Callithrix jacchus: one gene and its partners. The protein of the gene in region 2 interacts with the protein of the main gene of each other region in a pairwise test. Links are inferred from orthologs where the notes say so. Each region holds a gene or a part of one and is shown on either strand. Other genes may lie near its edges.

Evidence for each region. The genes of interacting proteins can lie anywhere in the genome.
Region 1: the proteins of RBSN (region 2) and EHD1 interact in binary tests that used the Homo sapiens proteins (3 or more experiments, as listed by UniProt). The link is inferred for Callithrix jacchus from reciprocal best matches to the Homo sapiens genes RBSN and EHD1.
Region 3: the proteins of RBSN (region 2) and EHD3 interact in binary tests that used the Homo sapiens proteins (3 or more experiments, as listed by UniProt). The link is inferred for Callithrix jacchus from reciprocal best matches to the Homo sapiens genes RBSN and EHD3.

What each region holds. Positions count from the first base shown.
Region 1 is NC_133511.1:121,949,503-121,953,545, forward strand, and holds the start of EHD1 (EH domain-containing protein 1), read right to left. Parts: upstream 2,801-4,043; 5' UTR 2,741-2,800; coding exon 2,722-2,740; intron 2,492-2,721; coding exon 2,363-2,491; intron 1,565-2,362; coding exon 1,138-1,564; intron 1-1,137. UniProt on the Homo sapiens protein: ATP- and membrane-binding protein that controls membrane reorganization/tubulation upon ATP hydrolysis. In vitro causes vesiculation of endocytic membranes. Acts in early endocytic membrane fusion and membrane trafficking of recycling endosomes.
Region 2 is NC_133516.1:72,070,009-72,073,508, forward strand, and holds part of RBSN (rabenosyn-5), read right to left. Parts: intron 1,238-3,500; coding exon 1,137-1,237; intron 323-1,136; coding exon 277-322; intron 175-276; coding exon 13-174; intron 1-12. UniProt on the Homo sapiens protein: Rab4/Rab5 effector protein acting in early endocytic membrane fusion and membrane trafficking of recycling endosomes. Required for endosome fusion either homotypically or with clathrin coated vesicles.
Region 3 is NC_133515.1:84,254,451-84,258,594, reverse strand, and holds the start of EHD3 (EH domain-containing protein 3), read right to left. Parts: upstream 2,801-4,144; 5' UTR 2,296-2,800; coding exon 2,069-2,295; intron 1-2,068. UniProt on the Homo sapiens protein: ATP- and membrane-binding protein that controls membrane reorganization/tubulation upon ATP hydrolysis. In vitro causes tubulation of endocytic membranes. Binding to phosphatidic acid induces its membrane tubulation activity.

The sequences.
Region 1 (4,043 bases), on a different chromosome or scaffold from region 2:
CAGACCACGCTGAAGGTCAGCTCTGTGCATGGAGCAGTCCTGGCCACCGGCTTGGCTCTAGGGCAAGGTGCCCTGCACGGCTGGATGGCCTCTGGAAAGGAATGTGATCCCACAGGGCGGGGACTTGGAAGGCAAGATTCAAAGATTCCTTCGGGGCTCTTCCCTGGTGCAGACTGCAGACTCTGAAAGGCATGCAGGAGTCGTAGAATGTGGGGTGGCAGGGAGGGCAGGGTTTGGGAAGTATTTTGGTATGTCGCCTGGGGGTGGGGACCAGGATGCCTCGAGTTCCTTTGGAGAAAAGTGAGCCTGGGCATTGCACTCCTTAGACGGGAGGCCACTGTTTCATTCACAGCACTGAGAGAGGCAGAGGCTTGGGGATCACTCTCATCACATGCAGAGGCCACTTAACTGGGAGAGAGAGGTCCAAGTGGGTGAAAGCAGCTCAGATTCTGTCCCTCAGTCCACAGAAGGGCTCAGGGCTAGAATCTCATCGCAGGACCCCAGCACCACCACCTCCTCCTGCTTCCCAAAACCCTTTAAGGCAGCACTGACCGCTTGAGAACTGCCTTTGGGAGAAGCGTTCAAACCTCAACTGTCCCCTCCAAGGGGCTGTCCCAAAGTCAGCAAGCCACAGCAGATTCTCCTCCTCCCTCCTACACAAAACCACAGTCCCAGGGGAGGCAGAGCAGAGCCACACCGCCCCAGCGAAGGGACTGGGTAAAAGTTTCATTGTGTTTTGCTATGACACTTAAGAAGACAAGGAGGGAAGGGTTGATGTGCCTGAACCAAGTGCATCCAGTCTGCGGGAAGGAGGTGAAGACCAAGAAAGAGAGCGCAGGAATGGTTCAGTCCTGGTTCTGAGGGGAGTGGGGCTGGGATTTGTGGGAGGGCTTGGTGGTTAACCTGGAAGATTCTGGGGAAGACAGAAGCTGGGGGAGCTGGCAACGCCCACTCCTAAACCCCAGATGGGTTTTCTCTGGGAAGCGGCAGGGCCCTTGGGCCAGGGAGTGGTCACTGAGGGTCTCACTGGGGCCTCGTAGACAAAGAACGGCGGGGGTGACAGCCACGGCAGGGTCCGGCTCTGAGTGAGGGCTGGCCCGGGCCGCGCCCCACCCCCCTGGAGTGATGGGTGGGTACCTGTTGAGGAAAGCGTTGCCGAAGGCGTTGAGCTTGCGGAAGGGGCGCCGCGGGTCCACCACGAGCGCGTTACCCGGCACCACGCCCTCGGTGGGGCCGTGCATGACGGCGATGAAGGAGTCGGTGGTGGGCTCGGGCCCGATGCGCATCCCCGGGAAGTCCTGCTCGATCAGGTGCCGGATGAAGGTGGTCTTGCCAGTGCTGTACTGGCCCACCAGGAGCACCATGGGCTTGTTGTCGAAGTCAGCGTCCTCCAGCGCGGGCGAGTGGAACTCGTGGAAGCGGTAGTGCTCCTCCAGGGGCAGCAGCTTCTGCGCGTACAGCTGCCGCAGCCCCTCGGCCACCGTCTGGAAGAGCTCCGGCTCCTTCTTGCGGCGGGCATCCTTGCTGACCCAGCTGAACATGCTGCCGGACACGGGGCTGGCTGCTGCAGGGCAGAGCAGCGGCTGAGAGCCGGGAGAGGGCGCAGAGCCAAGGCGGGGCCGGCCGGGACAGGGGGCGGGGAGCGACCCACACTGGGCAGGCGCACAACCGCCGAGGCGCCCTCTGCCGAGTGGAGCGCGCCCCTTGCGGAGCGGCCTTTATAGGATCGGTCCCTAAGTGGCCACGGGAGCCGCCGCGGCGAGGGCGGGGCGGAATTGGGAGAGTTAGGGAGGAACCCCTCTGGCCCCGCCCCTTAGCCTCGTGCCACGTCCTCCCCTCCCCTGCCTCCCATTGGTTTATTCCGAATCTCGCGAGACCGTGGTTCGGGTGCCGTGGCAACCGCACCTGTTTCGCCCTGCCCCTCGTGGGGGAGGCTCGTGGAGGTGCTGTGGTTGGGAAGGCCGGGAGTAGACGGCGTCCGGCGCGAGAAGGTCTCTGGCCTGCGCACCTTCCGGTACCGTGGACACCCACACCCCGAGGGATGGCTCCACGAGACACCCAGTCAGGCATTCCGGTTCCCTGACTATGCGCCTCGCCCGCCGTTCCCCACGTGCCCGTCCTCCTCCCGCTGACTCAGAATCCCCCGAGGCATCGCAGGACCCCCGGGCCGCCGCACCACCTCCTCTCAGCCCCGCTTCTCAGACACACACTGTCTTTGTCCCCTCATCTTTTATCTGTTTTGGGAGAGGGAGAAACAGGATAGAGGTAGCAGAGCAAGCTGAGGGAGTAGAGAATCCCGGGCGGGGTGGTGACAGAGGAAAGAAAAATGGGCAGGGAGAAGGGGGCACACGGGCAAACTGACCGGCAGCGTGAGGCCTGACCTCCCCTCGGGCCGACGTGGTGGGAGTGGGAGAGGGACACAAGCTGGGGAGGACATGCGTGACTCCGGACGCGCGCGGGAGAAGAGAAGGCTTCACTACAGAGGTGACAGCTGGGGCAAAACAGGAGGCCATAAGGAGGAAGTTGAGGCCCTCTGACCACTTGCATTTAGGGAAGTGAAATCGGAAATTCCCTATGTGGTGAAGAGGGGGAGTTTGGGGGCAACAATGAAATTTTGTGGGAACTTAGGGGAAAATTTAAAAACCCAAATACTTCCGCTTTCCCCCCGGGGTCACCACCATTTACCATCTTTTACTGAACCTGTGCCCTACCTCCCCTTACCAGTTCCTGGCTGTCCCATGGGGCTCACTCCCCTGCCATCCTCCCCGGCCACACGCAGACCCTTTCGGCTGGCCAGACTGGTGAGAATCTTCAGTGGGTGATGTCAGAGCTTTGGGGGCTGATTGTTATGTAACTGTAGGTATCAAGACTCCAAGGTTGGGGAGCAGGACCCTGAGGGCTCTTGAAGAGATCTGAATTGAACCTGCAACCTTGAAAGCCTCGGGTCCAACTTTCTGGCTTCTGGGAGATGTGGAAGCCTGGAGAGCTAGGGGCCTATATCGGAATAACTCAGGCTGGTAGGCTAAGAGGAAGTGGCAGGAATTCCAATCTGAGAACGGGATATTTCAGGGGAGCTGAGTCGGATGGAATCTGGAGAGGACATGATGGGAGGTTTGTTCACCCACTTCTTGTAAGATCCCTTCCCAGGGAATAGATAATGTTAGTTCCCTTGCCCTGCCCTCTCCCTAACCATTGGAGAGCAGATAAGTAACCCCAGCTCCTCCTGCAATCTTAGGCCCCAATTTACTGCTTTTATTTGATTTGAGATTCAAATTAGCATTCTTTTCATCATAGTAAAGCACAAAAGCTACTGAGGCTGCGTGCCAACTGGTGATGAGGAGCCTCCGGCAGGCCCGGTCCACACTTCCTGAGTCAGCCTTAGAAGCCAGAGGGTTTGCCTCCTACTCAGCACTATTAGGGATCCACCCCGGAGATGCAGTTTCTGGGCTGATCTCGGGAAGGGCCTAGGGCCGAGGATCCTGAATGAAGTAGTTGTTCAGTGGTCTGAATGAGGCTGCTCCAAAGTGGCGCGCCGGCAGCATCACATTGAGGGACGTTTTTCACATCTCCCCAGAGCCCTGTGTGCTGGGAAAACCCAGCCCCAGAAGACTGAAAACAACAAAATGTTCCCGGGTTATTTATAAACGAATCCTAGACCCTGTTATTCTGTGTGGCCACTTGACTGTCTCCAAAGAGCTTAAAGGACTGAAGAAGGGATCTCTGCCACCCTGGTGAGGCTCAAGTGGCCTGGAATTAGTTCCCCCAATTTCATGGAGTTTTCAGGCAGCTTCCAGGCAGCTTCCTTATCTTGTCATGCTCCAGACTGAAAATGTCGCAATATTTTTTTCTTTTGTGTTTTCTGAGTAAGGCAGTTTGGTGGGAAAGTTTCCTAAAATGTGAATGAACCATTTCACATGTGGTTTCTCTGCTGTTTCACTTTCTGCCTGTCTGCCTGAGTTCAGGGCAGATTGATGGAGGGTTCAAGTATTTTCCTTTTATCTCAGAAACGGCGTCACCCCCACGCCAGTGTTTTATTCTTCAGT
Region 2 (3,500 bases):
CAGGTCACCTACTTGCCAAGGGAAGGCTGATGAGCTCCATACACTTCTTGCACATAATAGACCCACAGAGGCGACAATGGTGGCGGCGGTTCCGGATGCTGAACTTATTCCCACAGTCTGGACAGAAAGGGACATCCTGGTCGTTGACCCAAGGCACCACAGACTTTTCTATTGCTTTGGGAAGAGCAAACCAACAAAAAAGCCATTTTAAAGAGAGATTTGGTCAGGGAAAAAAGATAAAGGATAAGAAGAATGTGAGCAAAGTTTTAAAGTTACCTCTAATCTTTGCAGACTCAGTATTTGTTCTGTCAAATGCAGTGAGCTGACCAAGAGAAAATAGTGCCAAGTGAAATTAACCAGGTGATGTATACATGCTCCACACTTTCCAATACCTCGAGTAGGAATTGGCACATTTGGATTTCTCAAATCTCATCTGTCATCCCCAACTCCACAAAATCACAAAAACAATTTCACGTGGGACAGAATATCAGTTTTGCATCTAGAAGCCACCTCCCTTCCTGTGACCCACTTCTAATCTCTTTATTGTCAGTTACCAATTTTAGCAATAACCAGGGCTAGGCAAGGATGGGTAGGGGCAGCAATTAAAAGCAATGGAAAACTCTCCATTCTCCACAGTGCTCCTAGACCCTAAAACTGGCCACTTATTTCTGCCTTACAAAGTACACATAAAGAACTGTACTTGTGGTTGCTACTATGCCCAGCTCAAAATCCAGGTTACACACAACAAGCATATCTAGGATCAAAATACACCACTGAGACCTGGTCACCACTCCTTTGTTTGCGATCACACCCCACACTTCACTAGGTGATTGTGCCCGGGACACTCAAAAGAAGAATCTGAAGGAAGAAAGGTTTTCCAGCATCTGAGTGGGATTTATAGGTGGTGAAAGGGAAGCTGAGCATGTGGCAAGTCTGTCAGCCTGGGTCATTCTGTTAAGGAAAGCTGGCCCAGGCTAGAACTGTACACCAGGTCCTCTGCAACTCTCTAGAGAAGGGGTTTCTCTGGCAGCATCAGATGTATATGACATCTACAACACATGCTATAGAAATGTGATTATTTTTCCCCAGAAAATGTGTATTTACAGAAAAAAATGTTTTAAGACTACAAAATTTACCTTCTCTAACCTGATTATTAATTTATTGACTTCCACAACATAGTGGTCAATTCTAGCAGCTCGGTGTTTTTTGAATTCAGAAAGATGGCTTCTCACAGCACCTAGAGGGAAGGAAATGGGGAGACAAATGACTTACAATTTCTCTGAGGCAGCCTCTCTACCTTGTTGCTATCATCAATGAATTTCAAAAGCAGGCTGGTCAACATAGTGAGACCCCGTCTCTCTCAAAAAAAAAAAAAATATTAGCCAGGTATGGGCATGTACGCCTATAATCCCAGCTCCTCGGGAGACCAAAGCAGGAAGATGGCTTGAGCCTAGGTGTTGGAGCTATGATCCCACCAGTGTACGCCAGCCTGGGTGACAGAGTGAGACCAATCTCAGGGAAAAAAATAAAAATAAAAAACAAGTAAAAACTCTAAGATTTTATAGTCTTACCAAAAATTCAAAAGCCAGGATAGCAAATGGAAGAAAATCTGCTAAAATGTTAACCATGACCTTGAGGCCACCAAATACCATATGAGAGACTTTAGAGTAGAGTAGATAACAGCATGCATGCTGGAGTCAGCCTGTGCTAAAGTTTCAATTCTGCCACACGCTGTGTAACCTTGGACAAGTTACTTAACTTCTCTGTAACTCAAGAGTACTCAACTGTCAAATACAGTAATAATGGTATCTACTTCACAGAGTTGTTACGATGATTAAATAAGTTAAAATTTATAAAGTCTTACCTGACTCTCATGCTAATGTTAAATAAACAGGGTGATAACATCATGGGCAATTTAAAATTTTCTGAATTATCTTATTGTTTTATATGTTGTAAATCTGATACAATATGGCTTTTCTGAAGGATAAAGACAGTTCTCAAAATGGTCAAAAAAATGATAGATTCCCTTGTGGGAGCTAGTTAAACTGATACCTTCCTCAGTCCAGCAGCCAAGACCTGGGACAAACCTCTGCAACACAAATAGAACCCAATAGCTTACTGTCTGAGAATACCTGAAATATTTCCAGCTCAGTCTCACCTGATCCAGAAACATATTGCCCTCAAACATCCTGGCACTCAGTGCACATCCTCATCCCAGTGATCACTTATTCATTTAGAGATTGTACTATAACAGATTTTGTCACATGCCATGCTTTTTAAAAAAATTTTAATTGCCAAATAAAAACTGCATATATTCACCATGCACAACATGATTTTTTGAAATATTTATACACTAGGGAATGGCTAAACTAGCTAATTAACATATGCATTATATCATATACTTATCACTTTTTGTGGTGACATCACAAAATCTACTCTCACTGATTTTTAAGAATACAAGATTTTTTTCTTTTTTTGAGACGCTCTGCTACCAGGTTGGAGTGCAGTGGTGTGATCTTGGCTCACTGCAACCTCTGCCTCCCAGGTTCAAGCAATTCTCCTGCCTCAGCCTCCTGAGTAGCTGGGACTACAGGCATGAGCCACCATGCCCAGCTAATTTTTATATTTTTAGTAGAGACAAGGGTTTCACCATGTTAGCCAGGATGGTCTCAATCTCTTGACCTCGTGCTCTACCCACGTCAGCCTCCCAAAGTGCTGGGATTACAGGTGTGAGCCACTGCACCCAGCCCACAAGATATTTTTATTTTATTTTATTTTTGAGACAGAGTTTCACTCTTGTTACCCAGGCTGGAGTGCAATGGCGCGATCTTGGCTCACCGCAACCTCCACCTCCTGGGTTCAGGCAATTCTCCTGCCTCAGCCTCCTGAGTAGCTGGGACTACAGGCATGTGCCACCATGCCCAGCTAATTTTTTTGTATTTTTAGTAGAGACGGGGTTTCACCATGTTAACCAGGATGGTCTCAATCTCTTGACCTCATGATCCACCTGCCTCGGCCTCCCAAAGTGCTGGGATTATAGGTGTGAGCCACTGCACCCGGCCTTATTTTTATTAACTATAATCAGGCTGGGCATGGTGACTCACACCTGTAATCCCAGCACTTTTGGAGGCCGAGGAGCATGGATAACTTGAGGCCAGGAGTTCTGAGACCAGCCTGACTAATGTAGTGAAGCCCCATCTCTACTTAAAATACAAAAATTAGCCAGGCATGGTGGTACACGCCTGTGGTCCCAGCTACTCAGGAGGCTGAGGCACAAGAGTTGAACCCGGAGGCAGAATTTGAAGTGAGCCAAGATCGCAGCAGTGCACTCCTGCCTGGGTGACAGAGGAAGACTCTGTCTCAGAAAAACAAACAAAAAACTATAAATCACCCCTTTAACAACAGATCTCTTGACTTATTCCTCCCGACTGAAATTTTGTATCCTTTGATCAGCATCTCCACATGCTATACACTATTTATTTATTTATTTATTAACAGAG
Region 3 (4,144 bases), on a different chromosome or scaffold from region 2:
AGAGCCAACAGGCCCTTCACCTCCAGATCTTGAACACCTTCAGAAATTACTTGGCTTCTTGGGTGCGGTGGCTCATACCTGTAATCCCAGCACTTTGGGATGCTGAGGTGGGCAGATCATGGGGTCAGGAGTTGGAGATCAGCCTGACCAACATGGTGAAACCCTGTCTCTACTAAAGATACAAAAAATTAGCCAGGCATGGTGGTGGGCACCAGTGATCCCAGCTACTTGGGAGGCTGAGGCAGGAGAATCGCTTGAACCCGGGAGGCAGAGGTTGCAGTGAGCTGTGATCGCGCCACTGCACTCCAGCCTGGGCAACAGGAGAAGATTGTTTAAAAAAAAAAGAGGCCGGGCGCGGTGGCTCAAGCCTGTAATCCCAGCACTTTGGGAGACCAAGGCGGATGGATCACGAGGTCAAGAGATCGAGACCATCCAGGTCAACATGGTGAAACCCCGTCTCTACTAAAGATACAAAAAATTAGCTGGGCATGGTGGCGCGTGCCTGTAATCCCAGCTACTCAGGAGGCTGAGGCAGGAGAATTGCCTGAACCCAGGAGGCGGAGGTTGCGGTGAGCCGAGGTTGCGCCATTGCACTCCAGCCTGGGAAACAAGAGCAAAACCCTGCCTCAAAAAAAAAAAAGAAATCACTTGGTCTCTCAAAGCTGCTGAGCCCTAGGCTGTGCACTCCACAAGGACAAACTCAATGTGGTGTTGTGTTGAGACGTGACCTATCGTCATGGTGCTACTTCCAGAAGGCTTGCATTACAAGGTTGATGTTAGAGAAAATTAGCACCTAGACAGTTAGTAACTAGACTGTTAACTTTTCTGCTCTTCTCACCAAACAAAGCACAGCATTTTGCATGTTGCAGACTCTCAAAGAACCAATGAATAGGAACAAGAGTACCCCTGCTTTCCAAGTCCTCTGCAGATGAGCATGCTTGACTTTGAGGGGCCACCAAACTCCATTCTCAGGCTGTGGGTGCCTGACTCTTAAGACAGAGGGCCACAGCACTCTCAATAGTTTGGAATGGCTGTAAAAGAGGCCAAGAAAAATGGCTGGTCTTGAAGGTTGGGAGGATTGAGGACCAGAGAGAAGCCTGTTCTCTAAAGATAGGAAGGATTCTCATTACTCTTGCAGACCTCTCTGAATGCAGGGCGAACAAATTGACTTCTTGAGGCTCCCTCCAGCCCAAGGATTCTGTAATTTAAGGGAATGGATGACTCACTCTCAGAGTTACAGGCGTTGAGCCAACCAACTCCTCACATGCATCTGGGACTTGCATCCCAGGTCTGCTGCCCACTCTTTCTACTGCTCTGAACAATTCATTTAACTTCCCTGTGCCTCAGTTATCTCACCTGCAAAGTCAGGAACTAGATGAGACAATGCCAATATCCCTTCCACCTCTAAGAGACTTTAATATTATTATTGAGTCATTAAGAGCAAATAAGAGAAAGGAAAAAGACAGCATTCTGCTTCTGGACTCTGCTTCTGTTGCGTTTCCAAGATACACACATAGAAGCTCTGCTTTAGAGAAGAAAATGATAAAAGGAGGACAGGTAGCATCCCCGGGCCACCTCCGTTCCCAGGCCTGCTCCCGTCAGAGCTCAGCTGCAACCGTGAGGCCCCCATGTGAGTGCCAAGTCCCTTGAAAAGAAAGGGAAGAGGTTTTGCCGGTGAATAACATGTCCCTAAAAAGTGAAGACGTGAGATATCCCCATCAACATAAGGTGCTCCAGAGACCAGGAGCTCCCCCACGGTGCCTCCTGGGCCTCGGTTTCATCATCCATAAGATGGGGAGACCAGAAATGGCTTTACACTCTAGTACCTCAGGTTGACCACTAGAGCCCAAGGGTCAAGTACAGTGGACAGGCATTGGATAAGTTGGGGAGAGAGACCAACAAAAATTGTGGGGTAAGCTTTTGACGCCTTCACAAACACATCTCTTCAGAGCCCTCAACTGAAGTCTTCCCATTGGTCCCCTGGCAGGGGTGGAGCACTAGGAGTGACCGGAGGGACTAGGCACTGGACACTGACCGGGGTGGGCTGCCGGACCCTGGGCCTGCTCACCTGATGAAGGTGGTCTTCCCCGTGGAGTACTGGCCCACCAGCAGAACCATGGGCTTGTTGTCGAAGTCGGCATCCTCCAGGGCGGGCGAGTGGAATTCGTGGAAGCGGTAATGCTCTTCCAAGGGCAGCAGCTTGCTCTTGTAGAGTTTCTTGAGCCCCTCGCTCACCGTCTGGAAGACCTCAGGGTCCTTCCTCCGGCGGTCGTCAGTACCCAGCCAGCTGAACATCGCGGCCGCCGCTCGCCCGCGGCACGCAGCCCTAGGGGAAGGCTCCTCCTCAGGGGAAGATGCCTCTCAAGGCCGGTCGGCCGGGCTCTGAGCCGCCCCGCCGTCTCACCCAAGCGCCGGGCTCAGCCGCACCATGGCCCGGGCACGCGGCTAGCGGGGCTGGGAGTGCACTCTTTCACTGTTCCTGGGACCAAGCCCAGCCACTGCTGCGTCCAGCAGCCCAGGCGGGAGGGAGGATAAATTATCTGGGCTGGAGGAGGAGTGGGTGCAGTCTTGGAAATTAAAGTCGAACCTGCAAGGAAACTGCCAGATGACGGGGTCCGAAGCCGGGGTTCCCGATCGGCCCCCAGCCCTCGCCTGCTCTGCTCTGCGTGCAGCAAGGGGTGCTTTGGCTCCGCTCCTGCAGGACTGAGGCGGCTCAGGGGAGGCGGCGACGCTGCCCAGCCCGCGGACAGCTCCGCATCCGCAGCAGCATCCTGCAGCCCCAGGCGCTGGTTTAAATGCCAGCTGGGCAGGAAGCCGGCGCGCAGAGGAAGTCCACGAGTACTGGCAAGGCCGCTCTGGCCCCACGGTCCAGGCGACGGGAAGCAGCTCAGGGCGCCGCCATGTTTGTGGGCAGGCGCTCCGCTCCAGACCTGCGTCCGCGCCTGGTGAGGGATGCTGACCCAGTCCAGTGGGAGAGCGCCCGGGTCTCAGTCCCCGCCTCTGGGGCTTCGATTTGGGAACAGCGCCCTCTCAGGGACGGCTGCGAAGACTGAGTTGACCTAGTCATCACCCTCCCTGCTTTGAATCCCCTCTCCTTCAGTTGCTGATGCTGATGCCAATTCCCTAGGAAAACAGGTACTCTAGTATTTGCGGATTTTTTTTGGGGGGAGGCATGGAAAGAAGGATCCACTATCAGGTTACACAAAATAAACAGAACTGTCACTACCCAAACTTTTAACTAAGCCTAGTGTGAAGTCCAAATCGTTCCCATTTATTTATTCATTTATCCCAGCAAAACGAAACAAGCCAGCAAGCAAAATCCCTGCAAGTATTGGGTATTTATTTATTTATTTTTTTTTTGAGATGGAGTTTCGCTCCTCTTACCCAGGTTGGAGTGCAATGGCGTGATCTCGGCTCACCGCAACCTCCGCCTCCTGGGTTCAGGCAATTCTCCTGCCTCAGCCTCCTAAGTAGCTGGGATTACAGGCACGCGCCACCGTGCCCAGCTAATTTTTTGTATTTTTAGTAGAGACGGGGTTTCACCATGCTGACCAGGATGGTCTCAATCTCTTGACCTCGTGATCCACCCGCCTCGGCCTCCCAAATTGCTGGGATTACAGGCGTGAGCCACCGCGCCCGGCCCGTATTGGGCATTTATTATAGGGCAGATACAATTTTGGAGACTGTGGATACAGAGATGAGTGCTGGGCAGACTCTCTTCTGGGAATTCCAGTGAAGGCAGACTTTAAAGAGGAGGCATGAGCAGAGGGCCATGGGAACACAGGGAGGAGTCACTCCTTTTTTGTGGCTGATTTAAGGAAGGCTTCACAGAAAGCATGACTGTAAGCTGGATCCTAAATTATGAATTGACATTCATTATTCTAGAAGAGTAAGGAGCATTTGCAAAGGCTTGAGGAATATGGGAGAACTTGGTGTGTCCAAGTCAGAGCAAACAGTTTGGCGTAGCTGGAGTGTAGGGTTTAGGAAGGTGGAAGAGAGTGAGGGAGGTCAAGCCTGAAAGGCTTTGCTGGAGATGGGAAACCAGTAACAATACTTACTAATCATTGTTACATCAACAAAATGCTCAGCATGTGTAGGGCTAAGTTCTTAGTGAACATTGTTTTATTTAACCTTCATGGCAGAT